4 linked regions of the Arabidopsis thaliana genome follow. The protein of the gene in region 3 interacts with the protein of the main gene of each other region in a pairwise test. Each region holds a gene or a part of one and is shown on either strand. Other genes may lie near its edges.

Region 1 (10,401 bases), on a different chromosome or scaffold from region 3:
GGAGAATGACGATCGGTTGGGTTTTAATTAATATAATCTAAATGATCATAAGAAATACAAACCGTTTTCGGCGTTTTGTGTTTTAAAATACTACATGTGTAAAAAAGTCTTCTTGATTTGGTCTTTGATATTTTCTTTTTCTAATGGAACGAGAAAATTAGAGTGTGATCGGAGACAAAATAAAATATTGTAAGCTGTTATATAAAACAATATAATGTAGATTTTCTTTGCAAGAATATTTTAATCTAAAGCAAAATAAACACCCTAATATTAATACAAAAAAAAAAAAAAATTGCATAGAACAAAACGTACGGTGTTGATGCTCAGTGTACACTGCTGCAAACAGAGGAGCAAACCTCATCGCCCAAAGTGTTACGGATGCGTCTCGGTCTCAATCCTATATATGTAGCTGTGGGGGCATCTTTCTTGGTTGAATGGTGTTTTTGTTGAAGAAAGAGGTTTGTCTTCTGTTTGCTAGTGAGAAGTCTTTTTGGTGTTGATGCTCAGTGTTTGAGATCAACTTTTGTACATGGGGGGTTTGGTTTGTGAGGTACTCAATGTTTCAGAGCTCATTCTTTTTTGTATAGACCACTCTTGAATATGTTGGAGTTGGGCCTTGTGGTAAGCTAACTCTTGTTCGCTTCATCTTTGATTTAGTCTAGCCTTGTAATCGGTGGTTTCATGTGTTGAAGTTTTAATTTTCTAATATAATTCCAGATGACAGAAAAAAAAGAGAAAAAAACGTACGTATATAGCTGTCTTATTTTTATTTATTTTTGACAAAATATAGGCTATGTCTTATATGTTTTAAAACCTGGACGCCAATTTAGGCCAAGAGACAGAAAAAGTCGGTCAACAAAATCAACTTTTGTGTTTGTTTTTTAAGTGTCGATTACTATATAATCCGTTTACCCGCGTAATTTATATATGGCTGTGCCCAACAGACTTTATCAGCTCAATGACTTAATGAAAAGATGATTTTGAAAGATGAATTGCATCGTTAATCAAAAATTTCCTTTTAGCTTCTTTTTCGGTCTTCAAAAATCAACAAATCTATTTCATTCCATATTTATAGCATATAATAATTAATATGTCGAGTAATATATTCAATATTTTGCTAATAAATCTTTAAAAAACAATCTAGTGACATTTGTTAATTATATTGGTGAAGACTGAAGACAATGTATCGATTTAAATTTTACGTAATATTTTTTTGTCACTTTCCCCGTTTGACTAATTTTATTTTTGTTTGCTTAAGAAATTTACCTATTAACTATACATTTATATTTGTTTGAATCATGTATCATTGGTTAGATTACTGACCCGTCACTATAGTTATTAATAGCGTGGCCCTCACAATTTGTCAAGAGATGCCCATGTAACTCGTGTTTGGATTTTAGGTATGACAGGAAACTGCGATCCACGATTCTCGTTACAATACTGTGCATTGTTTCTAATTTTCGAGTAGAGAAGCTTTTATTCTTATATGTCAATAATATGCATTAAACGACTTTAATTTGAATAATGGCATTTCGACAAATAAACATCCATTAAATTACAATGTATCAGTAAAAGAAAACTGGATAGCTATGTCACATTGATGTGCTACTTTACTTACTACACCCAATTACATCAAAATTCCATAATAAATAATTAATAACTGTCTATAGAGTGAAGACATAATAAATCATTCTGAGAAAGGAAAGAAACATCAATTTAAGAACAACTTTTCGTAAATAAAGAATAATCCATCAGACAAAAATATATTTTAATTGTTCTATTTCCATAGAACAAGCATAATAACCATGAAAAGCTACGTACATTGAAATCACCTGCACACACGACACTTATTTCCTTTTCTTTATTGTCTATCACTCCACCAAACTTGTTATAACCTGAATATTAAATATCAGATTGTAAAGTTTAATGTTAATTATTTTTAAAAATATACTTTTATTCTGTAAAATCCATTACTAGTTTTGGAGAGGCTCCTTCTTGTCGTCCCACAGATCCAAACGTTTCCTCGCTTTTTCCACCTGTATCATTATTATACAATAATAATAAACCTTAATAATTTGGACAAACTCTTTGAATCAAATTCAGCTTACACTATGATATAACTTAATTTCATGTAACATTACCTCTTTATCCCAATCTGTTCGGTACGTGACGTAAAGTAAAATGAGTGTTTGCATGAGGGTACCTCCAATCATCCCGGTCCATATTCCCTATAACCAAAATTCACGTAAAATTATTTTTATTAAACTGATAGTAACAAAGCATATACTAATACTATACATAATATATTTGAAAGCGAACCTTGGCTTGAAAATCGAAAGTGAAGCCGAGAATACACCCAACCGGAATACCAACAACGTAGTAACAACCAACATTCACATATGCCACGTATGTTTGCCATCCACATCCCACTGCCACTCCTACAAACAACAACACCAAACCGAGATTTATTTGGTCATGTTCGGTTAAGGTGCACCAGTTAAGTTTTCTAGTTTAAATCTAAATGAACTTATACCGGACAAGACAGGTTGAATTCCGTTGAGAATGATGGTGATGGCAAGAAAAGGACAGAGGTCAGAGACGGCTTTAGCCACGTCAGCATCCTCCGTGAAAATGTAGCTAACGTAATCACGAAACCAAATCACGGCGAGGGCTTCCGTCACGGAGATCACGAAGGATACAAAAGTCGCCGTCCATGTAGAGAACCATGCTGATTTCGGATTTCCTGCTCCAAGCTCATTACTTGTCCGTACACTGTCCATGCATAGTAATTGTATAGAAAATTATGATTTAACCTGAGCAATGTTTGGATGATAATCTGAAATTGATTGAGAAACAAATACTAACCTTACAGCAGCATTAAAGCCGACAGAGACCATGAATGATAATGCTGAAATTGACATACTGCACAAAAATAACAAGAAAAAAATAGTTAGATAAAAGAGAAGTATAAGTGATTCCTTCACATTAAAACCAAAAAAAAAAAGTATAAGTGATTAAGAAAATGATATAGAATCAAGAATCAAGTTACTAACTAATTAATGGACTTACCAGATGGAAAGAGAATCTAGAGAGCGAGCAGGATTTTCGAGCAAACCAGCAAGAAGAACAAGAATCTGCGAATACCACATTTCCAGACAAATCATAACAGCTGAGCCAGCAGAGAGTTTAAAGAAGCTCCAAAGACCTTGGAGCGATCTCCAGCTAAGACCAGTCCACGTGTGTCTAAACTTGGGACTAACCGCAATGTAAAAACACTGGGATCCAACAATGACCCACCAAGAAATTGTAAGAACATAAGCTATGCCCATAAAGCCCATGTCCATTACATAAACGGTGATCCACGTCAACAATATCTGGAGGATGAGGGCGGCGGCTGAGATGAAGGCGCTCGGGGCAACCACGCTTTGGGCCTGGAGGAACTTTTGGGCCGTGAAGTTGACGGCGTAAGCGAAGATTTGAGGGATGAGCCCGGCGATGTATTTGGATCCCATGTACGACACCGTTTTGGGTTCCCCTAGTAGGATTAGAATAGGGTACGAGAAGGTGTATAGTAATGTCATGGGCAAGCCAACTAGAGCGAGGACTATTGTTGCTCTTTGGAGATAGATCCCAAGCATCTCGTAACGATGGGCTCCATAGGCTTGTCCACATAGTGTTTCGACTGCACTGCCCATACCTAACTACAAAAAACACATGAAAAAGCAAAAAAAGTAGTTACATATAAAGTTTTTTGTTGAAAATATAATGTGGGCACCAGTTTTGTTGGACATCAACAATATCTTTGTTTGTATACTCTAAATTACGGGAATAACTTATTGGCTAGTTATACTTATCAATGAAACTATAAAATGTTTTGAATAGTAGTTTTCCTCTTAAATCAAATCTATTAAAAAATATTATAAACACATTAACGTTTATAAACACATGCATGAGTGGTTGAGCATAAATAACTAATGACAACTGACAAGACACGATGAGCACATTTCATGAGGAAAAAGTAAGCAGAGACATCATTGTGCCATCCTTATCATGTGTATATTTCATATTTGACTGGCATGCAACGAATGATTAGTCTGCTAAACCTACTTCAAAAGCTCTATATGTGGACAAAATTTCCACTAGATACTTTAGATACTCGATATGTGAACATTAGTGAGGTAATTTTAAGAAATACGAGACTTAAGCATTATTTATCAAAGATAGAACCAATTTTTGGAAGAACTTATCTAACTTTTTATAAACAATCTACCTAGTTGACTACATTCTTTAAATGTTTTTGGCCACCTTAGATGTCAATACAAAATTTTCTTTTAATTATCTATATATATATATATATTAAAAGCTATAATCATTCTCAAACCTATATGATTTACACATTAACGATTGTAATTTGACTTTCTCTTTTCATTTGATATAATACTATAAGGCAATTGGAAACTGTTTCGTCAAAACAAGCTTAGCATTTTATATTAAACAAATAATTGTTCACTACTATGACCAAATCGTAACCATCAACCACAAAATAAAAATCCCACATCGTTTTCATTAGTTAGAATAGTATTCAAAATTTAAGGCATAAATAAATATTACATTGCAAAAATATACTCCCCAGTATATTAAAGATGGAAATTTTAATCTTATTTAAGAAAATTATTGTTTCGATCCCCGGCCCCGGTTGAAGACAATTTAAAAAGAAGAAAGGCTGCAGAGTCATTAAATGATCAAACTAATAAATGGATTTTTAAAACTTACTATATATCTATATTTGGTGGGAAATGAAGAAAATTTCAAAAGAATAAATCGTACAAGCTGTATGTAGTGCGTAAGCAAATAATCGTGACCATCTTAATTAGCTCTAATAAGTTAATGTTAACACACGAAACAAGGACTATTGTTACTACGAACCTTTCACATTAAAGCAATTTTTTTTTTTTTTTGACTCCACTAGTTATCGTGCTACGAACCTTTCACATTAAATACTGAATGCAAAAATCAAGAAATAATATTTAATAATATCACCGCGTCTGATAACTCGTTGACATTAAAACGTACCATGAGGCCATAGACGAGACTGAAGCAGCTGTTTCCGATGGACGCGGCGGCGAGCTCATTTTTACCGAGATGTCCGGCGAAGATCCGAGCGGAAATACCCATTCCGCTGTTGACTAAATAGACAAGTATCGCCGGAAGTGCCAACCGGAAAAGTAGCTTCATCTCTATGCATGCCCCTAAGTACACGCGCCTCCGGTACGGAAGGCTACGCTCCGTTAAAACACTCTCTAGTCCGAGTCCGACGTCTGCCGGAGGTTTACGCTCCGAGACAACCGGAACCACCAATGGTCGCCGGAGATCGGCTAAATTCGTGGTTTCACTAGGCACTTCCATAGATTGGGAAAAAATTTACAAAGAAAAGGGTTTTGTCTATAATGATAAGACTGAGGAGGAAATTTGGAGATTTAAGGATCTGTGTGGTTTTTTTTGAGATAATCAAAATGAAGCTCTTTAGTGTGTTATAAATAGAGATTGTACACATAATTAAAAAAGAAAAAGTTTTATTGAAAATGGGTATCTATTTTTTTATATCTTTTTTCCTTTCTTAAATGAACAATAAAACAAAGAACGATATGATGATCCAAGAAAAAAGTACATATTGTAGATTATTCATATTAAACAATAGAACGTGTTGCACACAAAAGAAAACAAATCTAACGTAGAAGATCTTTACAAATTCTAGTATAAAGTAAGAGAAAACAGTAGAAAGTCCTAATATTAGGTAAACAAACAAATTGCTCACATGGGCAAAAATTAGAAAGCTCAGTTTTACACTATAATCCAAAGAGAAAATCATAAATATTTAATTGACTACTCATCATAAGCATACAATAATATTCAAAAGAATGACTTGCAAAACAAACGATACTACAAAAAATTATTTATTTTGGTCGACAAAAAATGCAATTATATCATTTATTAAGCAAAACGACAGTTACAATTAATCGTTAAGTTATACTAGCTGACAAGAAAAAGGAATCGTTTCACGGAATTCTAAGGAAGTGAAAGATTATTCTCTTACAAAATCCAAAAGTTGAACTTTTTCACACAAAAACTCACCATAGTGATTTCGTCTAGTAAAAACTCTTATCGTGATCGTGTGTTAATGCAATTAGTTGCATTACGTAAGTTTCTATCCCTAAGAATATCGAGTAGTTAACTTCATTCATAGTTACCATGGCGGTAATAGTTTATATATCAATACGAGTAAATTCAACGCCTGAAGAAATCGTGCCTAGTAGGAAAATTAAAATTAAAATCGTGCCTAGTAGTTGACCCCAAAATAAAAATTAAAAAATTGAAGGAAAATGGTAAAGATTCATAAGACAAAAGAACCGAATAAATGGTATGTAATCATTAAATTGTAAGAACAAATTAGGATATAGGAATATAAGATAGAAAAATACAGCATCGTTTACAGGCTGTTATCCTTAGCAAAATAAACGTGGTTTGCTAAGCTTTTAGCCATTTAGGTTAGGTTAATAATATATGAGTACTTTTATATGTTATGTCAACACACAAAACGAGAAAATCAAAATCTTTAATCCTTAATTTCCAACTAAATTATAATGCTTATAATTTACTCCACCATTTACTTCACTAAATATACGATAACGCTTATAACAAATGAAAATAATAATTAGTATAAATCTTCATATATAATACCAACATGTCTCCTCATATCATATTCATATGGGTACGGTAACGTAAATCATACCATAAGTCCATAGACGAGATTGAAGCAGCTATTTCCGATGGACGCGGCCGCAAGTTCTTGACTACCAACATGACCGGCGAAGACACGAGCGGATATACCCATTCCGGAGTTGACTAAATAGATAAGTATCGCCGGTAGTGCCAACCGGAAAAGTACTTTCAACTCTATACAGGCTCCTAAGTACACACGCCTCCGGTATGACAAGCTACTCTCCGTTAATACGCTCTCGAGCCCGACCTCTGGTAGAGGTTTCACCTCCGTGTCTGCCGGATCTACTAAAGGTGTCCGGAGATCGGTTCTTTCCACTGTCTCATTTGACACATCCATAAGTTTAATTTAGTTTGTTTTTTTTGGTTTGGTTTTTAAGGTTAAAGTTTTGCGAGCAAAAGCAAGAAAATGGTTTGTTTATAAAAAGACTGAGGAGGAATTATGGGTGGACATGTGGGGTTTTTGACATGATCAAAATGGAGATAAGAAAACTGAACCCTTTTTGTGTTGTTAGATTGGGATCGTACACGTAAGAAGAAGAGAAAAAGAAAACTCTTATTGGAAAATGGGTTTTATGCTTTTTAACTCTCTTTTTTTTTCCTTCTTTCGGTCTGATGAGTGAAGACTGAAGAGGGCCACACGAAACTGCGGGTGGGATCCAGGGATTAAGTAAAACACGATTGTGAATTACTATATATTTATATAAATAAAATCTATATAGGTAATAGAGGCAATAAAATATAATATTTAGACACATTGCATAGAACATAACTGAAATGATTCTAATAAAGAAATACTATTAAATATATATTCAATACAAAATCTATAAATTAATATTTAGGACCATAATATTTTCTTGATATATAGACATTAATTGACAAATATATTAATATTTATTAGTTTAAACATAACTATGTCACTTATTAAACTTAGATTTTGACTAATTAAGTGTGGTCTAGAGGATTTTATTATAGTGGATTGATGATTTTCATGTAGGTCAAGATTAGATACTTCACTCTTTTCCATCTCCGCAAATTTACAAACGCCATAATTAAGGTGAACACTAACGGACAAAAGTAATCAAACTATAAAGACAAGGACTATTGGGTTATAAAGTGTCACAAGCGTGAAGAAAAGAAACAATTGAATCTTCTTGCTTTAGTTTTGTTTTACCACGTGTAAAATGTACGTATAGTTAATTGGTTAGAGTTTAACTAATTTCAAATTCCATCACGTGACTGTTAGTTACAGTACTATCTTATTATACGTTGCGATCGTGGTACCAAAAACTCTATATCGTATAAAATCTTGATGTCGTGCGAAAGACTGAGCTTACTTTATCAATAAAACAGTAATGATTTATACGTAAAAGATTTGAGATTCAGTGACTGCGCCCCATACAGCATCATATACTTTATAAAAATAAATGAGATGATCAAATTATAAGATTTTATTTGATTAAAATTTTATAGCTATGATCGCGAAATATTACAGAAACTATGGAAAGAACTAAAAAAATTAAACAAAAGATATGAGTGGATACTTTATAGTATATCGACATGTCAATTATAACCGATGTATGCCATTTGGCTAAAAACATCACATGCGTCTTTAGAATGGTTTTGCACCAAATAAAAAACAAAACAAAAAAAAGTCTCTAGAATGGCTGCAACAAAGAAGTCACCAAATTTTGGAATTAAATTCATGAATGAACCCAAAATCTGAAACCGTAAACAAACGATTCAAACTCAAAGTTTAACCTAAATATACTTTTAGGAGCATTAAAAAGTGGATATAACCGATGTTGAAATGTTTATGTCACATAAAAATGAGTTACAAAAATATTAATTAGAGTTACGGTCGCCAAATATAAAAAATAGAAAAATAAATAAATAGGATTTGGAGAAGCTAGAGAAAAATAATAATAAGAACAAGACGAGCTTTTTATTTTGTAAAAAATAAAAATTTTGCTAAAAATTAACATTTTTATATAATTAAGCATTTAAGCTTAATAATAACATATGGGTAATATGAGATTATCTTAAAAATTAGACAACTCAAGCAAAAGTCTCCAATTTTATATCATTCTAAACAGTTTCTTCTTTAGTTTATTGCTAAATTCAAATAGAAAAAGACAAAGAGTATTGAAAGTTAAAAACTAATCACTATATCATTTTTCTTATATTCGTAGTCAAAGTACATGTACATTTTCTATACCCTTTTTTAGCCTTTATTACTTACTCAAACTCTCGGTAGTTTCCTCTGGTTCCGTTATTCCGTCTAAAATACCGAAGTACCGAACATATGTAAATGTCTAATATTGCACATAAATAGATATGCAAAAGCGATGAGATGAATAAATGATCGTAAGTAATATTTGCTTGATATCAATGATATGATAGTGACCCAACAATTGTCTACTTGCGAGCGACGTTTGCACCACGAAAATAGGCATGGACTTGTCTATTTATTTTTATTTTTTTGTTTGCTAAAGTGGTCTTGTCTATTTATTTTAAGTTCTTCATCTAATCTACAGCTGAATTACACAAACAAACAAAAGCGTTATGAAATCACAAACTCAACTTGTAAGTGAAATCTTACCTACACCAACCTTATTGGGTCCGTACCATTCAATGATTTATGCATAACACTGAAATCTAGAAAATTGTAAAATTAATCAACGTTTCGATATGTTTACTAAATTTAAATCAACTTTCTTACAACTAAAAATAAATAAATTATGTGGTATTTTGGATCACTAATTATTTCTGGAGTAATTAGTTAGTGATCCAAAAATATGGATGAGTACACTAAGATGTCTCAAATCTTTGTCTTTTATCCTAAATATTGGACCTATGTGATGTCTACAATTTTATCGGATTGGGAACCGTACAAGAACAATTTAGTATTCTCTTTGTCTCCGATGTTCAAGCTCAAGAGCTTTCTGAGTCTCCTTACAGATACAGATACATAGAAACTTAACCATTAATTATTTAATTGTTCTCACTCCATACAGAAATCGTACGGTTTAACCTTTGTACAATTTTGAATAAAGCAAACAAAGACCTAAAAGCTAACCGAGCTCTCCCACCTAGACTTAGCAGCTCATTGACTCGACCGAGCTCTCCCACGGTTAGGAATAAAATAGAGTCTAGTGGACGTGAAGAAAACAAAAAGAAGATTATTAATCAATATTTCTCAGCTCATAAGTAGGTCAAGTTTTGACATCATAACTTAAATTTAAAATTGTTGATGTTGGTCGTTGGATAAGCGGTAATTAAGATATTTAAATTTAGTATAGTAAACATTATAATAGTGGACTTACTTAAAATAAGTAGACATAATTTGTGAACGTAAGATAAGAACAGGCCTCTTACGCAGGCCCACTTTGTGACCAGCGATAAGAAGTGAGCACTGAGTAGCAGCGAGTTATTTTCTACTCTCAGATCATCACTAACCAACACAAAATAACATCTAAAATCCTTTCGGAAGAATCTCTCAGAAGAAACTAATAAAGAAAAACCTGACACAAATTTTGAACCCTGTCTAACTCTAAACATGGTTTCGAGAAATTGAGTTTTTGTTTTCTTAAAAATTAATTTAGTTTCTTATTCTTTTAATTG
Region 2 (6,991 bases), on a different chromosome or scaffold from region 3:
CGCTTCTCGATTCCATTGTATCCACAGGTGAAGATGCTCATCAATTGTCTCTGTGATTGTTCCTCAATCAAATTCTTAGAGATTTCACTCATCACTTATTTTTTATTTCGTCTGAACTTGAAGGTTCACTGGATTTCTTCTCAACAGAGCCTGGAGTTCGTGTAAGAAACTTTCCTCATGTCGATGGAAATTACGCTTTGCACGTTTACGTACCTGGTATTTGTTCATTTCGTAGCTTAAAATTTCTGAGAGTTTCGAGGTTTTTGAATTCTGAAGTGGTTGTTTAGTATAAGAGGATACGTATGTGTTTGAGAATGTATTGATGAAGTGCAGGCCTGATGAAGTGTATCACTTGTCTTTCTCTTTCACTCATTGTTTATTTTGTTTTTGGGATTCTAGTTTGTATACCTCCACTGCCAAAGAAGGAGATTGTATGTTTTTTAAAGAAGGTTGCATCAGTTGTTCCTCATCTTCATTTGGTAGAGGCTGATGTGCCACTCAGCATTCTATGCAAGGATGATCAGAAGTTTGAGCGTGCCTTGGGGAGAGAGTTCCACATAAGCTTAGGAAGAAACGTTCCACTACGTGTTCATCAGATTAACTCGGTGATTTCTATGCTTCGGCAAAAGCTTCAGTTGCAGAAGAGGTAAGATCATTTCTTGCCTACCATACTACCCAAATTACGATGGGGTTTGTGAATTGTTTTCCGTTCTGTTTTTGACAGATACTTGATAGATTTCAATAAGTGGGAAGTCTTTGTGAATGATGACCATACTCGCTCTTTCCTTTCTTTGGAAATCACTACTTCAGGACTATCCGAGGTATGTTGTACAACAAGAGTTAACCTTGAATGTTGGATTTTTGCATACTCAGTACCTTGTGTTAGATATTGTACTGATTATCATATCCTTAATTCAGATAAGTAAGCAAATTGATGCTGTTAATGAAGTTTACAAGCTCCACAATCTGCCGGAGTTCTACAAGGTCCACTTGCTTTTCTATATAGTACTTTACAGCTTGATTGTATTTTACTGTTTAGCCAATGAAAATCGTCATGGACACTTATCCCATCGAGTCTGCTTCAATTTTTCTTTTAGGATCCGCGGCCGCATATATCCTTGGTCTGGGCGTTGGGTGATATTAGAACTTCCCTAAAGGGAGCTGTTGACGTGGAACTTAGGAAGCTTAGAGCAGGTGGTTGTGTGCAGAATCGTATCTTCACCTCTAAGTTTTGTGGGATCGAGTGTAAGATAGGAAACAAAACACACAAAATATGTAAACTCCCAGATGAATAAGAAAATCTCAAATTTCTGTGTTTGCAGACCAATCAGGTATGCATTTGTAACGACATAGAAGGATGAGTTGATCTGTGTTCTTGGGTATTCCATAATATATGTCTCTTCATAGAAAAAAGTCTCCATATATCATAATATCACTCGTAATAACATTGGTGATTTCTGGACAATGCAACAACAAGTCCTTGTGATTTGAAATAAGGTAGATATTGAACTGGCTACTATTATGTTACAAAACGTTTACATGAAAGTGAAATCATGGAGCAAATTTTTTGTGACCTGGAGTCCAAGAAGTGAGCGAGCATACCAATAGGGTTCTCGAGCAACCTCATCAAACCCGGGGTGGTAGCAGCGAGGATGGATGTGATGAGAATGCAGTAAAGCTTGACATGATCAGGTGCAATGCTGGCCATGGTTGTGTTGTGCGAGAAATACATAGCAATCATACAGATCTGAAGCTGGAACCGCAATGGGAACCCGAGGGTGAGAATGTTGAGCATAGACAGTGAAACCGAAAACCCAATTGTGTTGAAGAACACAAACAAAGTGAAAGCAACTCCATTGAAGGTCCCCATGATAGATTGCCCTGCTGTATGAGCTTGTTGATTTGTAGTATTCACATTCGTTGTGTTCTGGGATACAGCAGGTATTGAGCTATCTTGCCAGGTTCCACCTGGTGGGGTCAAGCTGGCCTGAAACGTGGCTGTGGCGACTAGTGAAGCCACCACTAGTAATGCGCTACGTGCTTCTGATGGTGAGTCTCTGTGCTTTTTGAAAGTGAAGTACTTGACAAGTTCTTTATGGCTTTGGGACTTCATTGTTCTCTCTTGGCATGTGGAAGTAGAAGTGGTTCTCTCGACATTAGTAGTGCCAATGTCTCGCCCTCTCTGAGCTCCAGCTTCGATGAGTTTCTCATAGATTTCTCTATCGCCAGCTTCGCTCGGAAACATAACCAGCAAATCCATCGCTGATAGACCCATCTTGTTCATAGCATTCACCTCAAATGACCTTGATTCTTCTGGTATTGCCTGAACCAACACTTCAATCACCTGTAGGCAAAAGAAAAACAGAGTTTGATTCCACTGGAAGAAAACTATTTAACCGCAACTTAATTCGTCGTACCTGGCGATTTTTTCTCCAGGTTGCAAGATGAAGAGCAGTGTTACCCTGTTCATCTTTCTTATTCAACACATCAAATCGATTTGTCTCTGTGATCAACTCAACAATGGCTATGACTGCTTCGATCTCTAGGTGCAGAACAGCAAGATGCAAAGCAGTTTGACCTTGTACGGTCTCGTCTTCTAAACAATCAACACAGCTCGCTACAATCTCTCTGATCACATCGATTTTCCCTCTCATCGTTGCCACATGTAGAGGAGTCTTTCCATCTCTATCTTTTAAGCGGCAAAGCTTCTTTTCAACCCCCAAAGTTGCCCTCACAGTCTCTACTTGTCCGGCTGCCGCAGCTGCATGAAGAGGGCTAAACCCGTTTTTGTCCAAGTCAAAGACTGACCGCTGCCTGAGAATCTTTCCGGCGACGACATACTCTTCACTCCTTGGGTTGAAGGAGTTATAGAGAGGATCAGAGACGATCTCCTTCGGTAAATGAGTCTCAAAAGCATCCATTTTGGTGATGATGCAGAAGAAAGAGAGAGAGAAGATCGAGTTGAATATACAATGAAGGTGTGTACCATCACGACGCTTGTTTGAAATTTTCTATTACAAAACTCCCTTTGACATTTGACTTTGTAGCATATGAAGTATTCCTTAAAGTGGAACAAATGCTTACAAGTGTCAGTTGTTTGCATTACTTTATCTTTTGATTTTCTGACCCTGAGATCATCGTATGTGCAAATTCATATCCGCTCCGACCAATACAGATGAAATTTCAACAATTTGAGTAATACAATAGTTTTTGGGTATGAGAGTCAAATCTTAGACGAATTGACTTTTTTTCCATCGGTTGAGAGAACTTGCATTAGGAAACTAAACAAAACTGTGTTTTTCTTGAAGTGAGTTTTTAAGCAATAGATCAAGATTATAACAAGACAAAAAGGAATATATCTAGTGATCTGTTTCAAGTTTCAACACTGTGTTGGTGTTAACAAATCAAGACAGCTTGACTCGCTTGCCATAAATCTTCTTCATTCTGCTACTTCTCATTGAAATAAAGAAGAGACAGTGGAGTTGTTGTTATTACGTGAAAGAAAATAAAAAACAGGCTCCTAAATCCTATGAATCACTTCAATCTCTTAAGTTTTCTGTGTGGAGGAACCCTTTCTTTCTGGAAAGTTTCACATTAACTTCCTGAAACACAATCAAAATCATGATTCCGTAAAGGGTCCTTTTTGGTTTGCTCAATTTCAACGTCAGGTGCTAATATAGTATCAGACAGCTTCTGCTTATACTTCTAAAGACCGGGAATTGCTTCCAAGTTATACTTTTCTTCGGCTTTCGGAGTTTCGCCTTCTCGGCTCTCCTGCGTTTTCGGTTTCTTCAATGCATCTAGGGTCTGGAGATAAGAATAGGACGAACTATGAGGGTATTTGCTGCTAGGATTGCTTATTTGGCTAGCAAGAAACCGACGGATGAGTCCCCTCAGAAACGGAGCCATTGTATCAGGTTCATATTCGAGGTAGTACATTATTCCTCCCATGCATCCACAGAATAAAGCCACCTGTTTCCATTAATTGTATAAAACATCAGTTCCATTGCTCAAAGGGGAAGAAAGTTGGAAATAACAAAAGTGGTTTGTAATTGTATTGTACCTCAGCATTTTTAATGTCGGGAAGAAGGTGGCGATTAACAAGTATCTCCCACAGAGAATCTCCTGCTCGGGGAAGAACATATAGAGCAAGCTCAGAGCGTCTCGGTTTCTTCTCCAGCATAACTGAGAGGGCTGCTGCACCACCCGCAAACCAATAAACGAGCTTGTGGTCTTTGGTTGCAACTTTTCTATGGGCACATATGAAAGCCTAATGCAAATGGGATGAAGGCACATACATTTGGGAATGGTTTTAGGAAACTATGTGAATTGTATGAAATGAGGGGACACAAATCAAATGTAAAAACCAGCTACCTGAAAAATCCCAACAAAAGCAGACAAGAAGGACGTCGATCTAACTGAATCTCTGATTGCAAGCCAAGATGTCCGGTAAGGAGAAGCCATGAACTGAAATGAAAGTGTAGGATGGCATCAGAAACTACATATCATGTCTGACTAATGCATAAACCATAGGAATCTAAAAGACTGAAACGGCAAATATTGAGGGACAGTCTTACTTTTTGTAGGTGTAGAACAACATATGGGACAAAAGTCAGGGAGAAATATAATGGAAATGTTTTCTTGAATGTAGCTGACATTGCATTAGCATTTTGGGCCAGACACGAGTTAGTGTTTGGATGAATAGCTGCACAGGGAATGATGGAAGCAAACTCTTCCACCTTCACGTCGCTTGCTTCGTTTTTACTAGAAATATAGGCTGACAAGGAGGCTACATCAATTGGACCACCTCTGCAGCACTCTCTTACAGCTTGGTAGACAGGCCTTGCAACTGGACCAGTCTTCTGAATAAATTCTCTATATGATTTTGGCAAGGTTTCAGGACGCATTATAAAGGAATACATAACCTGCACCGACCTCATTGCAACAAAATTAGCTTGCTGACCATAATCACTACCAAATCACATTGGAGAGAATACGTATGGTACACAAAAATGTCTTTCAACGTCTATACTATCTCCATTACTAACTAGAACAGGAAGAAAAGAGAAGAATCTCAAATACCTGAGCACATGCAAGAGAAAAAAGTAACGAATCTCCATGTCTCCAATGGCTACCCCAAAGATGGAACTTGTTCTTTGACTTAGCGGAATTATAAGCCGCCTATTAATAAGAGAAAAAATCAGACTCCGAAAAAAACATCTGTGTGGTGATATTACTCTGTACGACAGACAATACTATGACCATTAGATGTACCTGGCCTAATCTAGCCAAGAGGTATAGAGCAAGTGTGCGACGCTGGTTGGAATCATCTAAAGCCAAGATAGACAAACCCGCAACTGAACCTGCTAAGACTCTGCTCCACCCTTAATCAAAGTCATAATAAGGAATATACTTTTCAAGCACTATGCACAAAGTAAAAAGTAGAAGCATTATAAGAAAAGAGATACAACAATCGAAATCTTAGGCAACACAAATAAATAAAATAAACTTACGAATTCAATGGCGTCTCTTTCTTTCTCCACTTCCTCAAACAGCATCTAAGGGCATGATACGAGCCAGTAAAGCCACCAAAAAGTAGACCAATACGACATGCTTCCTCCCTAACTATCAAATCTTTCTCTGAAACAAGTTGCTGCAACCATTGTTCACGTGTGAGTGAATCGCATATACAATGATAAGTCAATAACACATTGGCCATAGTTTCAAAACAACCGTATCAAATGGAACACTAAAGCAGAGACTCGTAAGACTCTAAATCTCCAGAAATTGCCACAAAAACAAATTCCAATTCATCAATTCCTCACCTTAAGATCGAGAAGAGACGAATAAGACTGTCCCCTAGCGAGCTTAAAAGCGCGAAGAAGAATCCCGATCCCAACTCTAACACCATAAGAGAGAAGAAAGCTCTGACATAAATTCCCAATGGCATTGGCGACGCAAGAAACGTCAGCGTGATCACACAATTCCGCGTGAGATCCACGCGCCGCAGAGCGTTGTCTACGCTGAAGCTCCGCCATGGCATCGCGTAGCCTCTCCTCCGCTTCTCGAAGCCGGCGCTCAGCCTCCGAGCTGTCTTGAGATAAAGGAGAAATCGGTGGAGGCGAAGAAGAAGGATCTAAATCCGGCTTGGAGAACGAAGAAGGCATCGTCAATTAAAAGGAATTGAAATCGGAAAGCTTCTCAAGCTCGTTTGCTTAAAGGAAATGAAATGATGCAATCAGAGAAAAATGTTGGGAGCAGTGAGGAAGAAGCCGATGGGGATATGCTATGACACGTCATTTCTTTATGATTTTTGATTTGTTTCTTATTTTCTTTTTTGGAAAATAATCCAAAAGATTTATTTTTTACCATAAAGCAGAAAGTGTGCGGGTGCGGTTGCGGTTGCGGGAGTTTGCGGAAACAGGCGGTTGCGGTTTCAAGCGTTATCAAGCGTTTTGAACGACTGGTTGAGCGTTTGATAATAGGTGCGTTTACGGGAGTTTTATGACTGGTAAACCAGCGGGTGCGATAGTAATTAAATAAAAAATAACCAAAATAAATATAATATATTAATTTTAAAAGAAAAAAAATACAATATATTATTATGATAAATTGATAATATTAGAAAATTAAACATGCTTAATAATTAAAACCATAAACAAAACATTAAATTCAAAAATAAATAAATTTTGTAAGAAAAAGCTTAGTACTTTATGCATTTGGTACATCACCAAAAATTGCATCAAGTAGTGTAATAAACTGTAAATAATGTTGAACTCGTGGGTTTTCCGGATTGCCTCTATACATATGATAAAGTTTTAACAAGAAACGGGTCATCTCGTCTGACCAAATAATTTTCTAATCGAGAAAACAAATCAAAACATGTATTCAATAAAAAAACTCAAAAAAATATAAAATAAAAAAAATGACGATGCCATGAAATACTCTGAGAATTACACTAGCTAATGAATGGATGAAAGGATAGATCATA
Region 3 (6,658 bases):
TGAAGTAGTCGAGACTTTTGTTGGGAACAAACTCATAGACAAGTATCCTCTCATCTCTTTCCAAACAAAACCCTAGCAATCTTACCAAATTTCTATGTTGAAGCTTTGCCACAACAATAACTTCGTTTGCGAACTCTCTTTCACCTTGTCCTGATGTCTTGGATAACCTCTTCACTGCAACTTGTACTCCACTAGGAAATATACCCTACAAAAATAATCATGAAAATGAAACTTTGTTTTTGTTTAACACATATTCGTTTTTATTTATTAAGTGTTGTTTTTTTTTTTATCAAATATATATTTTGAAAGCAAACTCAATTATTTCTCCTTTGTGGCCTTCTAAAAGTTAGGACCAGTTTTGGACAATGGTAATAATACCTTGTAAACTTCGCCGAAACCACCTTGACCAAGTTTGTTAGTCTCACAAAACTTATTTGTTGCTGCCTCAATTGCTTTAAAATCAAACTGAAGTGAGCCCGCAGTGGTAATATCATCACTTTCTGTAAAACATAGAGAACATTCTTCGTGAAGAAAGAAAATAAAAAGGAGATAGTTTATCATTTGGTGTCTTAATATGTATACCTTCGGTAAGTGGTTCCCTCTCATAATTCGTCCTTGTTTTCTTAGCCCGGAGACTAAAGAAAGCTACGAACAGAAGCAGGAGAGCAATGATTGGAACAACAACAACGATGATTACAGAGGAGTTCCGGCCTTTTCCTGTATTCCATCAGATTACATGTATGAACCACTTTTTTAAAACAAATCTTGAGTGTCTCAAAAGAAACGTTGCAGTTATGTCCATCATACCACGTTCTGAAATCAGCGGTGGGGGAGCTAACTTCAGCTGCTGTTGAGGAGTAGAGCGAGGCGGAAGAGACGGTGGTGATGATGATCTAGTGGCGGTTTCATTGTAGAACGAGTAATTCTCGTACCTTGAATTACAACTAGGGTAAAAAAATCTTCCTCCAATTCTGTAAAGAGACATTCCCTTGATGGATTTTTGTAGGCAACGTAAACAGTCTTGTCTTGTAAGATCAGGTGTGCACTGAACTAACAAGTACAAAGGCTGGGGTGTGATGACCTTTCTCGTATAAAATTTTTTAGAACTATTCGCTGCTTCAACGGCAGCTAGGTTCAACGTGGACGACACCAAATCCCTAAACTCATCTACTTGATTTTGATTACTTGATGAAATATTAGCGCCGTTCAACAAGATAGCACTTCCATCGTATGTAACGGTCGAGAGAATATTTCGGTGAGAGTATCTAAGCATACACTCATCGTAATAAAGCACGACTTCTTTGTTATACGGACACCAATATAAAGTCTCCTTGACGGAAAAGGCGACGCAGTTACGGCAAACTTCTTGTGAGACGTCTCCGCGACAAAGGAAAAGTCCGGTGACACGGTCGGGAGCTTGTCCCGCCGTGGCAGTTTGGAATCCGGTAGAGTATGAAGCGTTCCGGGAAGAGAGAGAGGACAAAAGTGTTTTGAGATTGGTGAAGTAAGTGCTGTTTCTTGAATACGTTAATATACTACTTGGACAAGAATGGTTTAGGTGAATAAAATTTTGAACTGGAGCTGAAAGAGGAGATAAGGAATCGGCAAATGAAAGATGAAGGAGAAAAGGAAAAAGCCAGAAGAAAGACATGCTTGAGTTTCTTCGATTTGCATGTGTCTAAGATCATGAAGCACACATGCATTAAATAAATTTATTTTTCTTGACTACTGTACATTAACGTGAAGTACAGGTTGGTTCGAAGTTTTTTTTTTTCCTTTTTAATAACAAAAATATCCTAGGCAAAAGATGATGATGCACATTAGAAACAAACAAAAGGAACGGGTTGGCGATCAGAAATTGCCAAGTAATTCATACCAAGTAGTAACAGAAAGAATCATCGTCATTGATAGGATAAACACTCTCAAAGACAATGACGAAAGAGAAGACAAAATACAAAGACTCATTTGCTACTTCACAATTTTTATCTTTTTGGTATTTTCTTGTAACCAAATCTCCGTTCGTTTGAAATCGTATTTCGACTTGTCATACTGAAATTAAAAAAAAAAAGACAAAATTGATACGTGACATATACACATGGTGGTCAAAAATGAGTATGAGAAAATTGATACGTGACATAACACATGGTGGTCAAAAAAGAGTATGAGAAATGAGACTTTATATATCGATGAAACCAAATCCAATGCATGCAGAGATATCTAAACACATACAATCAAAAGTTAAAGATGTCCAACACATCAATGTCTGTAGAAGACAGTACAACAAAAAAAGCGTTTTGAATCGCTTATTTTTTATATTTGCATATTGATGCAAATGAGTTTTACATCACTTATATAAGTGACTTTAGAATTGGTGAGTGAAAAAAATTATTTACATCGTTTCAAATAATTATTTACATCGATTATAATATTAGAAACATGATGCTTAACTCTTAACATAAATTACGCCAAGACCAATTTGAACCATCTGAAAATTAATTATAGCATTCTATATTTATGTATTCGTTCCTCGAATTTATGTATCTTTACTTTTATAAAATTTTACCATACTATAATTAATTTTTAGATTCTATATATATTTATAAATGAAAATTTAAGGAAATTAGTGATAATGGAATGGCGGGTAAATAGGATCAATCCCAATGCATGCTTGTGTCCGAAGCATGATGTCATCATTTGTTAGTTCCCCTGTCTCGTTCGATCAAAAAACACGTTTTGACAGAAGAGATTCAAAGTGACAATCAGTTTCAAGATTTAATTCTCTTACCCACTCTCTCACCCTGGCTTTCATAACTTTCTCCGGGAATAAGAATCGCCGGAAAAGAAGAAAACCGCCAATGGAGAGTACGGTGGAAAGAGAGGCGTGGAAAGCTCACGTGGCGATGATCGGTGTGCAATTGTTCAACGGAGGATATCATGTCATTACCAAAGTGGCTCTCAACGTTGGTGTAAACCAACTTGTCTTCTGTGTCTTTCGTGATCTCATTGCTCTCTCCATTCTTGCTCCTCTTGCTTATATCCGTGATAAGAGAACAAGACCTCCTTTGAATCGACAGTTTCTCTTAGCTTTCTTCTTCCTTGGTTTAACAGGGTAATTCAAGTTTTCTTCTACCAGTTTCTGTTATCTTCATGATTGCAATCATCACAGTGATGTTTTGGTGTGATTAGGATATTTGGTAATCAGCTTTTGTTCCTCATTGGTCTGAATTACACCAATCCAACTTATGCTGCAGCCATTCAGCCGTCGATCCCGGTTTTTACTTTCATCTTGGCTCTCATTATGGGGTAAAGACTCGATCCAGTCTTTCTCTTTTACTTTCTCTCTGACTCTTCCAAACCTAGAACAATCCATTTTCGTGTGTTGCTGCAGAACAGAGAGACTGAATTTATTCAAGCTAGAAGGTCAAGCTAAGGTAGGAGGCACACTGATTTGTGTCGCTGGGGCGGTGCTGATGGTTTTGTTTCGTGGACTGGCTTTGTTTGGGGAAACAGAGGCTGAGTCCTTGGGTCATGGTGAATCAAGACACACTGAAACATCTGGACACTTCATGTCTGGCTTTTTTAATGGACTTGGGCGATGGAATTTGGGAGTTTTGTGTTTGATTGGGAATTGCACTTGCATGGCTGCTTTTCTTGCTATTCAGGCATGTCATTTTCTTCTAGATGATCCACACACTTTCAGTTTCAGATATCTTCTTGTCTTTGGACTGACCTTGCATTTGAAACATATATGATCAGGCTCCGGTCTTAAAGAAGTATCCGGCGAATCTTTCAGTCACAGCATACTCGTATTTCTTTGGGACCATGTTTATGGTGACATCTGCTTTTTTCATGACTAATGAGTCGACGAACTGGAGTCTCACAAGATCCGAGTTCTTTGCAGTTGTCTACGCAGTATGTTCTTCACACACCATATGTTTGTTGATCCATTAAATTTCTCCAATTGAGTAACTCTGTTGCTTCCTCTATGCAGGGAGTAATCGCGTCTGCTCTCAACTATGGTCTCTTGACATGGTCAAATAAGATCTTGGGTCCTTCCTTGGTTGCTCTCTATAATCCTCTTCAACCCGCAGCCTCAGCTTTCTTGTCCAGAATCTTCCTTGGAAGCCCTATCTACTTGGGGAGGTTTAATATCTCTCTCCTTTTCTCTTAGCTATTCTCAGCCATCAACGGGATGTGTCTGAAGTTTCCTAACTAACTAGGCTTTTTTCTCCTCCTCTCTTAGCATTTTAGGCGGATGTGCAATCATAGCAGGTCTTTATAGTGTCACCTGGGCATCTTACAAAGAAAAGAAAGCGGCAGCAGCAATGGCTGTGATCCCGATCACCTCAAAGGAAGCTGAACCCTTGATCTACAAGGACCATAAAAACAAACCAATAGGACATCTATTCACAAAATCTCCCATCTCTTCACCAAAATCCGATGATTGAACAAAAACTCTGGCTTCTTGAATTACTTGGGTGCTCCGATGTTTTCTTAACCTTTTGCCGACGAGAGAGTGACTATTTTATTTTCTAACAGTATATATATGCATATAAACATCAATGTTTAACAGAGTCTCATTATCAGGTTTGATGTCCTCAATGCGAAAACCATTCTGCATAATACTCGAAACCATAGCCTCCAACAGTTAAAACTGTCTGACCCTCCATAGCTCTGAACACCTTCTCTGCATTTATCACCAACCTATACTTCCTGTACATATCAATCAGCCCACTTTGTATCAAACCATTTGATTCAAACCCGAGCTTTATGGAATTCACATGCACTCGCTTCCAAAATCTAGCCCCATCACTAACATAAGTGGAAGAAAGATACAAATTTGTGGCAGAGGGAGTGAACTTGCTTCCCTGATGTTAAATCTGAAATCAAGGCACATGCTTTTAGAACACATCACATTATGTTGTTCAACATAGCAACAAGGAGAGAAGTGGCATTTTGGTAACCATCCATTGCAATACAGGCTATACAGCTGATGATAACAATTGCAGAGCAACGAAAATCTCTGTAGGGCATTTATTCCATATGTGGCGGGCGAGGTCCAGGCGCCAACATGATACACACATCAAAAAGACGGTTGAGAAACTGCAAGGTTGGTCTTACCCCAGATTTCAAAATGTGAACTTGCAGCTCTATAAGCCCCACCAGCGATCACGAGTCAGTTGATTTCTGAGCCAGAGAAGAGTACAGCTCTTCGGTTCCAGACGGAGAAAGACAATCCAGTAACCCAAGAATGTCGGAAGTCAAGCAACAAGGAGTTCGATCCTCTGGATGGCGTTAATAACGGCAGGTTATGTATGGGATTCATGACAAGAAGTTGACCATGGACCCAGTTCCAGAGTTTTTATCTGAATTACTCTGGAGATTTTAATTAAAGAACATATTGAACCAAACACAGCCACAAGAGCTTTTATATAGATGATGGCTTCAGAGTTCCACCATTAAATCAGGGAGCAATCTGAGACAAAAATGAAGTCATCAACAAAAGAGATACAATTCAGAGAATTTCAGAGCTTTTCTATCATTTTATGGTTCTTTATAATTCTGGGAGACAAAACTTAAGTTATAGTGGAGAAAGCACCAATGGACATGACAAGTAATAAAATTAAGATCTTCTTAGTCTAAATATTACATAATGTAAATTTAAGATCTTCTCCGAGCTTTCTACCATGACTGAGAAAACCTGAACTCAGCAAAAATGTTGTTTCATCTCTTCATACCTCTGCATCACTGGATTCTGAATCTTCGTCTTCTCTCCAAGAAAGAACTGGATTGAGTGAAGATGACTTGTATAATAAAGATTGCAAGAAGTTAAAATAAGCATACTTGATGTCAAACTGCATGTCATACCCTGCAAATTAGATGCATACATAGCTTATTAGAGGCAAGGAGAGCCGAAAAATACTGGCTTGCCACTGAAGACAAACAGATGATGGAAGCAAAACTAAAACTCTTACAATAGTTCACTGCAATGGTATAACCTCCATCTCCTGGGGTTTGACTAACATGGTGAAACCACATGCTTGGCCTGCAAAATTCAGAACCATTCTGAGTCAGAATCATGACTAGAAAATCCAATTGTGTAGTAGGTCTATCACCCATTTCTAATCTTTGTTTCTTATAAAGCAAAGGTAAGACTGAAGTAGATACATTAGTGATCCAAATTAAGCCAAAAAGTTTCTGAGAATTTTCAATCTGTGGAGCTATGGGATTTAAATTCTTACAGGTAAAGAACCTCGCCAGCCTTGACAGTACAATGAAACGGCTTCGGGCCATCAAAGAACAACGGAAATTTCAATCTCTCGCTTGCTTCCTTCTCTGGCGAAGGGTATGGATCAACACTAGACCAAGGTACATGCCTAACCGGCTCCTCAACCTCAAGCTTGAACGCATCAGTATCCTATAACGATTCAAACTTTATCTCATTCAACATCACTTAACAAGAAACCAAACTCATTGAAACTTATTAATCTAAAAATCTCACAGACTCGGTGGTAAGAGTAATTAGCTGCCGGATACTGTTCGATATAGAGACGGTGAACATCAGTCGGAGGAAGAAGAAGGAAATGTTTCTCCCCTGAAACAACAGCGTAAAGATTCTCATAGTGATCTTTATGAAATGAAGTCACGGAGTCATCAG
Region 4 (6,954 bases), on a different chromosome or scaffold from region 3:
GATTCTAACTTTGAAAGAATAGTAAATGCCAACCAATGGCCAGTTGTAGTGGACGAACTCTGTCTTAATTACATCGTGAATATTTAATTGCATGCGAGTGTGGTTTATAGTATTATTGATATTTTCTTTGTTTATTTAGTTAATTATTATGGGTTTGTTAACAAGTCTAATTCAACTACTTCTTTTCAAGCTTTATTCCTCTTGGAAAAAAAAACTGCCCAAAAGATAAAATAGAAATTGACTTGTAAAATAACATAAAATAGACATTGACTTGTAATGAGATGAAAATAGAGTTAAAAATCATGATTTTCACAATTAAAATATGAAAAGATACAGGTAAAGTTAGGTTGTAGGGATTAACTCAATGTGGATCATGTAGGTCATGGTGTTATTTGTTAGGCTTTCATTCATAAATTTGTTTTTGAAAAAAAAAACAGTGAAATAAATGAAACTGATAGATGGAAGCTAAATTAAGTGAACTAACACAACTTATGTTACATTAAGTTTAGTTACACTGAATCGGTAGAACACATGATGTGTGTGGGACTGAAATGCTAATTTTCCGGAGATTTGGTTTGGTAAAGTTAAATACGAGAAGAAAAGAAATTAGAGTTGGAGAAACAAAAACAAGAACAAAAGAGAAAAAGCCGAACAACGTGCCGTTTTTGGGGTCCATTGGAAGACAAAAAACAACAACGTGTTCTCCGCCTACAACACAAAAACATGTGTTTGTAATTCACGTGTTGTTTTTACGTTCTTTCTTTGACCATTGTCTTCTTCCTCTTTTCACAAACTCAATCTTTTGTTTTATTTTTCTTATCCTTTTATCGGCTTATCCATGTCGGTAATCATTATCACCGCACATATTTGTTTTTGCTTGTTTCTTATATGTACATAAAATGTATATGTTCAATTTAATTTGCACATCATTTCACTCTTGTTAATATGTAATTCATCGAAAATTATGGTTCTTAATCCATGTCAACATTGTCACAATTAACAACATTGTTAGGATATATATGTCAACCACAGCCAAAATTCTAAGTGGTTTGTATTGGTCTCAATGTCTAACCAGACTGAATGTGAAAAACACGAAAATGAATAGATTTAACGAGATTTTAACTAGTAGACAAAATAAAAACATATCTTACGTTTGCATGAAAACAGATTGAGAATTTGAGATCCAAGACCAAAACTAATTAAACTACACATGTGAACAAATAATATATTTTGGGCTATTCGGGTTTGTGTCCGGCCCAATGGTTTATGTTAGCCTGTCAAACTTGAGGACTTTGTTTGTTTTTCTCCTTTTTCCTAAGAAAACTCTCTTTATGGTTGAACTTGTTTTCTCGATCAACTTCTCTTGTACCTTCGTTCCACTTTAAAACAATATTGGCCGTGTGACTCTTTGACCAGGATCACTTGTCATGTCGATTTCTTTCACGTTGCATCTCAATATGAACTTCATGTATGTTGGAGTTGTGAATTGAAATTCATCAAAACAAGGAATCTTTGATTCAGATTGAGTCAATCTCTTCCAAGCACTGTGTTGGTATTGTACTGTAGAGAAATTTGCAGGATCTTGAAACATATGACAAGATATATAACGAACCGATTATTAGATTAATTTCGGCCAATGCTCGAATCATACAAGTAATCATAAGCCACAATGAGTTTAGCTTTGTTCACTAAGTTAGAAAGAATAAATAAATGAATGGATCAAGTTAAACAAAAGAACTAAATCATATAAAACCTCCAAATTTCTAACGTTTATCATATATCTAAAATCTTCTAAGATGCCTCTCTTTTCTATATGAACTGGCGTAAAGGGATCAACATCACACTGATATCATCAGACGAGCCTCGTGAAGCAGATAAATCGACAAGCTTCTTACAGGCAGCTAACAACAATGGCTTCTCGGTTCCTAAGCAGAGAGGACGAGCAATGTCTACTGCTTCTTGGTTACTCACTTTATCCCATAAACCATCAGATGCCAAGATCAAAAACTCATGGTCATGCTCGATTCTCGAAATCTTTGTCTCTGGTTCAGCTATAACCCATTTCTTAAGTTGAGCATCTCCAATTCCTCTTGACACAGCTAAAGATCCCTGGATTCTCCAAACACCGTGAAACGTATCAACATATCCTCCCGTGGTTTCAATTCTTTTCCGTTCATCGTCTCTAGACGGGCGGTGATCAGAAGATAAAGCCTTAGCTACACCTCCTACACTCATAACAGCACGACAGTCACCGGCGTTAGACACAACAAGGTTCCCTTCGTTAACCAGAGCCGTGACACAGCATGAACCACCCTTAACGTCTTCCTCCTTAAGAAACGACGCGTCTGTTGCCAAGTAACCATGTTTCACCGCTTCAGCTATCTCAGACTCGTCTCTCTTACCAACTACTTCTTCTACAATGTTCTTATCTAAGTTCTTAGCTGCAAACTCAGCCGCTTTAACTCCTCCATGACCATCATAGACTCCGAAAATCGCCTGAGAAATTATCACAAAGCAAAACAACGTTTAGAATACACGATTCATCAATAAGCACACAATTGTTTCATATGATTCTGTAAAACTTCTAATTCTATTCAGAATTTCAATTTTCCCCAAAGAACCCTAATTTTAGATAGCTTATTAACCCAATCAATGTAGATCTCACATGATAAACCCTAATTTGAGCTGTAATTGCTAATCAATCGAATCAAAATCACCAATTCAATTCAATTCTAAACCAAAACTGAAAAATGAATTTGAAATTTAAAATTACCTGTTTACGATCTCCATGAAGATTGGTGATAGCAGAGAAACGATCCTCCATAGCTTCTCTTCTTCCTCTCTTACAATAAACAGAATAACCATCACCTTCTCTCTCAACCTCTCTACACTCCTCTCTCGGCGTCGCAGCCACAGCGGCCGATGAAGAAATCGGAGCTACAAATCCAGCAACACCAATCGGTATATCAAGCCTTGTAGGTCGTTTCCTCTTTAAAACACCTCCCGGAGGAGAGGATGCAGAAACAGATTCAGATCCAAAAGATAATGGACCAGGAGCGAATCCGGACGGAGGTTTCTGGAAACGGAGACGAAATGGAGATTTAGGAGAAGAAACGGTGGTGGATGGAGAGGAAGGAGAAGAGGTCTGAGGTTTGCGATGAGAAAGCGTTAGAGAAAGAGATTCTTGCGGTGACGAGAGAATCGAAGATTTGTTGCAGAATAGAGAAGACGACGGTGAAAACACCGGAGAATTACATACGGCGACGGAGCAAGACATCGTTTCTATATTTTGATTTCGATTTCGATGAGTAGAGATTTGTTTTTGCTGAGATTATTGTTTTTGTTTCTTCTCCTTCTGTTTTTTTTTTGTTGTGACGATGTACAGAGAGAGAAGAAGAAGGTTTTTAAATATAAAGGAAAGAAGAAGGTAATGAATATTGAATGAATTAGAGTCCGTGTTTATCGAGCTTTATTCAAAGTTTTTCAGTCTCTTTGACTTTGTAAATAACATTTATGCCCTTACAACTTTCATTTCCTTTATTTATGTTGTCCTTTTACTTTCTACAAAATGGATATTATTTTGAGGAAAACAAAATTAGCTTGAATCCTACTCTTGTTGACCAGTTTTTTTTTGTTGGCAAAATAAAGGAAAATATCATTTTTTCTTAATAATGAAAAATGTATATATCCATGAGATTTTTTATTCCAATATTTTTTCATAACCAAAATAAGAATCATTCAATTTTTGGTAACTTTATGTCAATTTAATAATAAAAACAAATTATGTCTAGTAGACTAGAACTATCATAAACAAAAAGAGGAGTATTGCAAATAAGAAGAAAGGCCCTTTGTAACGTAGAATAAAATTCAATAAAACACAGCAGATAGTACAAAAGAGAATGTTGGAGGGTAAAACGGTCATTCACAGTCTAAAATAGCTAAAACGATGAAGTAAGCGATTTATTGGGTTTGCTCTGTGAGGTTAAAACAGACATTTCAAATGAAGTCAAAAACACGTCTAAAAGGAAACGAATGCTAATAATTGGGCATGTGGGTAACGTATCTGTGTTAAAGAAGTGTTTCATTGATGACTCACTTTTTTTTTCTTCTCCTTTTTAAATTAAATGAAAAATAGAATCTTAAAGAATTTAAAACGACCGTTAGGTTCTATACGTCGTCGTTTTCATTGGATGAGTATTTTTGCTTGTCGTAGTCGCAGCTTCTAAGCAAGTGACCGTTGAGAGCCTGAAGAGGAGCCTTCGTTTTGTTTGTTTCCATTTGATGACCGTTGTGAATTTGTCAAAAAGTCTAATACATAAAGTTGTAATTGATCTCGTTTCACACGAGGTCTTCTTATTATTAAAATACAAGTCTTCTTCTTATTAAGAGAGTGTTAATTTTTTGAGTAATTTGTGACATCATTAACTGATAGTTTTGTCTTTTAAACGGTATTTGATATTCTAGAGTTGAAAAGGAATTGCAATGTTCTAGAGTTGAAGAAAAATCCATTAGAAAGTTTTTGTTAATGTTGTGAATTGTGATAGGGATGAATAGTAAACAAAGAAAAATCAGTTTTTGCAATATTATAAGACCAAAATTTCCTTATTAATAAGTATTTGCATATGATAAGACCAAAAATTTTACGTCTTATTATATTGTCATGCGATTAATGTTCCACTATTAAGCACTTTTAGAGAATGTTTTTCCGTTTGAGGCAGTTTATAGGAAATAGACACTTTTTCTATTAATTCTTTTTTTTTAAAGACTTTTTTACCCTCAATTCAATATTTATGTTTTTAATTCTTAATTTCTCTTTTTTGTTATTCCTCTTCCACGATCCTTACCCAAAATAAATAAAATCTCTCTCTCTCTCTCTCCATGATTTGTAGCGCCTCTCTCTCTCTCTCTCCACGTCTCCATAACTTTTGGAGAAGTTTCTTAAACAATTTGATCTCGATTATCTCAGGAATTTGGTAAAAGTTCTATGTCCATAAGGTATTGGAGGTGGGGTCTCTGCAAATTGTAAGAAAAATCAACAAACAATTTTTTGGTGTCCATAATAACGAGTCCATTTAAATATATCCATTCAGAAAACCTTTTACTGATTCATATTCATTCTATATACCATGTCCATATAACAGGAGATTCGATTAACCGTGGTTTGTAAAGAAACCAAAGTTCCATGTCCATAAGGTCTTGGAAGTGGAGGTCTCTTCAAACTGAAAGAAAAATCAACAAACAATGTTTTGGTGTCCATAATAACGAATCCATTTAAATATATCCATTCAAAAACCTTTCTACTTATCTATATTCATTCTATATACCATGTCAATAATAACAGGAGATTCGATTAACCGTGTTTTGTAAAGAAACCAAAGTTCCATGTCCATAAGGTTTTGAAGGTAGAGGTCTCTGCAAACCGAAAGAAAAATCAACAAACAATGGTTTGGTGTCCATAATAACGAGTCCATTTAAATATATCCATTCGGAAACCTTTTTACTGTTCTATATCCATTTTGTATATCATGTCCATAATAACAGGAAATTCGATTAACCGGAATCTCGATGCTACATAGATGAAACGAGTTTGACACATGAGAGAGAGCAAAAATCAAATCAAGCCGCCATTGTTGAAGAAGAAGATGTTTCTTAGATAATTGAATCTCAAATTTATATCAAAACAAATATTTAAATTGCAAAATAAATTACAATCTTAAAGAAACCAAGACCTCATATTCTCTAATTAGTCCAGAGAAAAAAGAAAGCCATCGCGTAGAGTGGATTTGGAGATTAATTGCAGATTTGGAATTGAAGATATTCTGGGAAATGTTTTTTTCTTCGATAAAGTGAGAAAAAAAAAAAATAGAGAAGAGATGGGAAAAGGAGAGAGAAGAAATGACCGATGGAAAAAATGTAGTTAAAGGGTAAATAAGTAAAATAATTTATCTAAAGTGACTTCTCCATTTAAAGTGCCTAATTAGGAACAAACTTTTAAAAAAGTGTCTAATCACGTAATATTCTCTACTACTAATTCATACCAAAAAAAAATGTTTGCTTTTTATCCTAGTACATAAGTTATTTAAATATTTTCGAATTATCTGATTAAATGACCTCAAAAACCGAAAAGAAAGAAAAAAAACTAATTTAGAAATATAGTGTAATTTTTCTCTTTCACCACTAAAACAAAATCTTATTTGTTCACTGTACACTTAAATACTTTTTGCGTCTTCTCTTTAAGAATACATTTTTAAAAAAGTATTGAAATGTGATTTTCATTTTTGTAGAGAATAATCATAGGCATATATATATCTCTATATACATAAACTCCGTTAGAAACAAGCGAGACCAAAATAAAACTATTACTTTCGACATGTGATGGCATTTCCGTGGGTTAGGCAATATACTTTAGAAATTGCAATCATAAATAACTTACAATTAGAAAATCATTACAATTATCAGTCAATCAGTCATAGTAATGATTATTAGTTATGATTTAATGCTGTTTATGTTCAACAGAAGACTAAGTCACATACAAGACTCCTCCTACTTGAACAATTGGACTTGGTTGTATGGGTATATATTTTTTGACCAAGTGGAATGATTAATCAAGCAAAGTAGGTTTCTTCTACTCCCTAATTAGGATTTTTATGCAGTCGTCTGTTGTTTCTCGTTGAAATTGTCTTCAATCTACTTTTTTCTTGTAAGTTTAAAAATTGCAACGTAATGTAGTTTTTTTCTAGCAACTATAATGTCATCTGCACAATAGATTTCATAAAGACATCTAACATTTAGAACTTGGACGTCCTTTAATTAGATCAATATTCAATAGTATTGCATCTGGATGGCCCATAATCTCTCAAATTAAATTTTGTTTCTCTTTCGAATCTAAATTAGGAAGATCCGTATGAGCAAAAAGTACTTAGGGTTTGATTGGTTCTCCCTCTGTCACCCGCA

The links.
Region 1: the proteins of UMAMIT3 (region 3) and AT4G21910 interact in a protein complementation assay, tested with the Arabidopsis thaliana proteins (one large-scale study listed by BioGRID).
Region 2: the proteins of UMAMIT3 (region 3) and AT5G51160 interact in a protein complementation assay, tested with the Arabidopsis thaliana proteins (one large-scale study listed by BioGRID).
Region 4: the proteins of UMAMIT3 (region 3) and AT2G30020 interact in a protein complementation assay, tested with the Arabidopsis thaliana proteins (one large-scale study listed by BioGRID).

Annotation. Positions count from the first base shown.
Region 1 is NC_003075.7:11,623,848-11,634,248, forward strand, and holds AT4G21910 (MATE efflux family protein), read right to left. Parts: upstream 7,409-10,401; 5' UTR 7,118-7,408; coding exon of another isoform or gene 6,791-7,117; 5' UTR 5,407-6,790; coding exon 5,074-5,406; intron 3,702-5,073; coding exon 3,070-3,701; intron 2,923-3,069; coding exon 2,866-2,922; intron 2,773-2,865; coding exon 2,534-2,772; intron 2,439-2,533; coding exon 2,320-2,438; intron 2,229-2,319; coding exon 2,142-2,228; intron 2,037-2,141; coding exon 1,975-2,036; coding exon of another isoform or gene 1,974-1,974; exon of another isoform or gene 1,896-1,973; coding exon 1,895-1,895; 3' UTR 1,462-1,894; downstream 1-1,461.
Region 2 is NC_003076.8:20,788,210-20,795,200, reverse strand, and holds AT5G51160 (Ankyrin repeat family protein), read right to left. Parts: upstream 3,129-6,991; 5' UTR 2,922-3,128; coding exon 2,418-2,921; intron 2,345-2,417; coding exon 1,520-2,344; 3' UTR 1,360-1,519; downstream 1-1,359. Other genes in the region: AT5G51170 (U6 snRNA phosphodiesterase-like protein), read left to right, coding at 1-27, 124-216, 400-646, 725-821, 919-984, 1,098-1,295; AT5G51150 (Mitochondrial import inner membrane translocase subunit Tim17/Tim22/Tim23 family protein), read right to left, coding at 3,706-3,972, 4,064-4,270, 4,375-4,467, 4,578-4,925, 5,083-5,181, 5,275-5,374, 5,514-5,653, 5,826-6,167.
Region 3 is NC_003074.8:16,864,391-16,871,048, forward strand, and holds UMAMIT3 (nodulin MtN21 /EamA-like transporter family protein), read left to right. Parts: upstream 1-2,642; 5' UTR 2,643-2,855; coding exon 2,856-3,109; exon of another isoform or gene 3,110-3,186; coding exon 3,187-3,303; coding exon of another isoform or gene 3,304-3,388; coding exon 3,389-3,662; intron 3,663-3,756; coding exon 3,757-3,912; coding exon of another isoform or gene 3,913-3,951; exon of another isoform or gene 3,952-3,991; coding exon 3,992-4,143; coding exon of another isoform or gene 4,144-4,171; intron 4,172-4,243; coding exon 4,244-4,448; 3' UTR 4,449-4,536; downstream 4,537-6,658. Other genes in the region: CRK4 (cysteine-rich RLK (RECEPTOR-like protein kinase) 4), read right to left, coding at 1-205, 379-500, 583-717, 808-1,651; AT3G45880 (2-oxoglutarate (2OG) and Fe(II)-dependent oxygenase superfamily protein), read right to left, coding at 5,465-5,476, 5,739-5,869, 5,976-6,046, 6,243-6,418, 6,507-6,658.
Region 4 is NC_003071.7:12,810,760-12,817,713, reverse strand, and holds AT2G30020 (Protein phosphatase 2C family protein), read right to left. Parts: upstream 3,444-6,954; 5' UTR 3,278-3,443; coding exon 2,774-3,277; intron 2,497-2,773; coding exon 1,810-2,496; 3' UTR 1,354-1,809; downstream 1-1,353. UniProt on the Arabidopsis thaliana protein: Protein phosphatase that negatively regulates defense respones. Inactivates MPK4 and MPK6 MAP kinases involved in stress and defense signaling.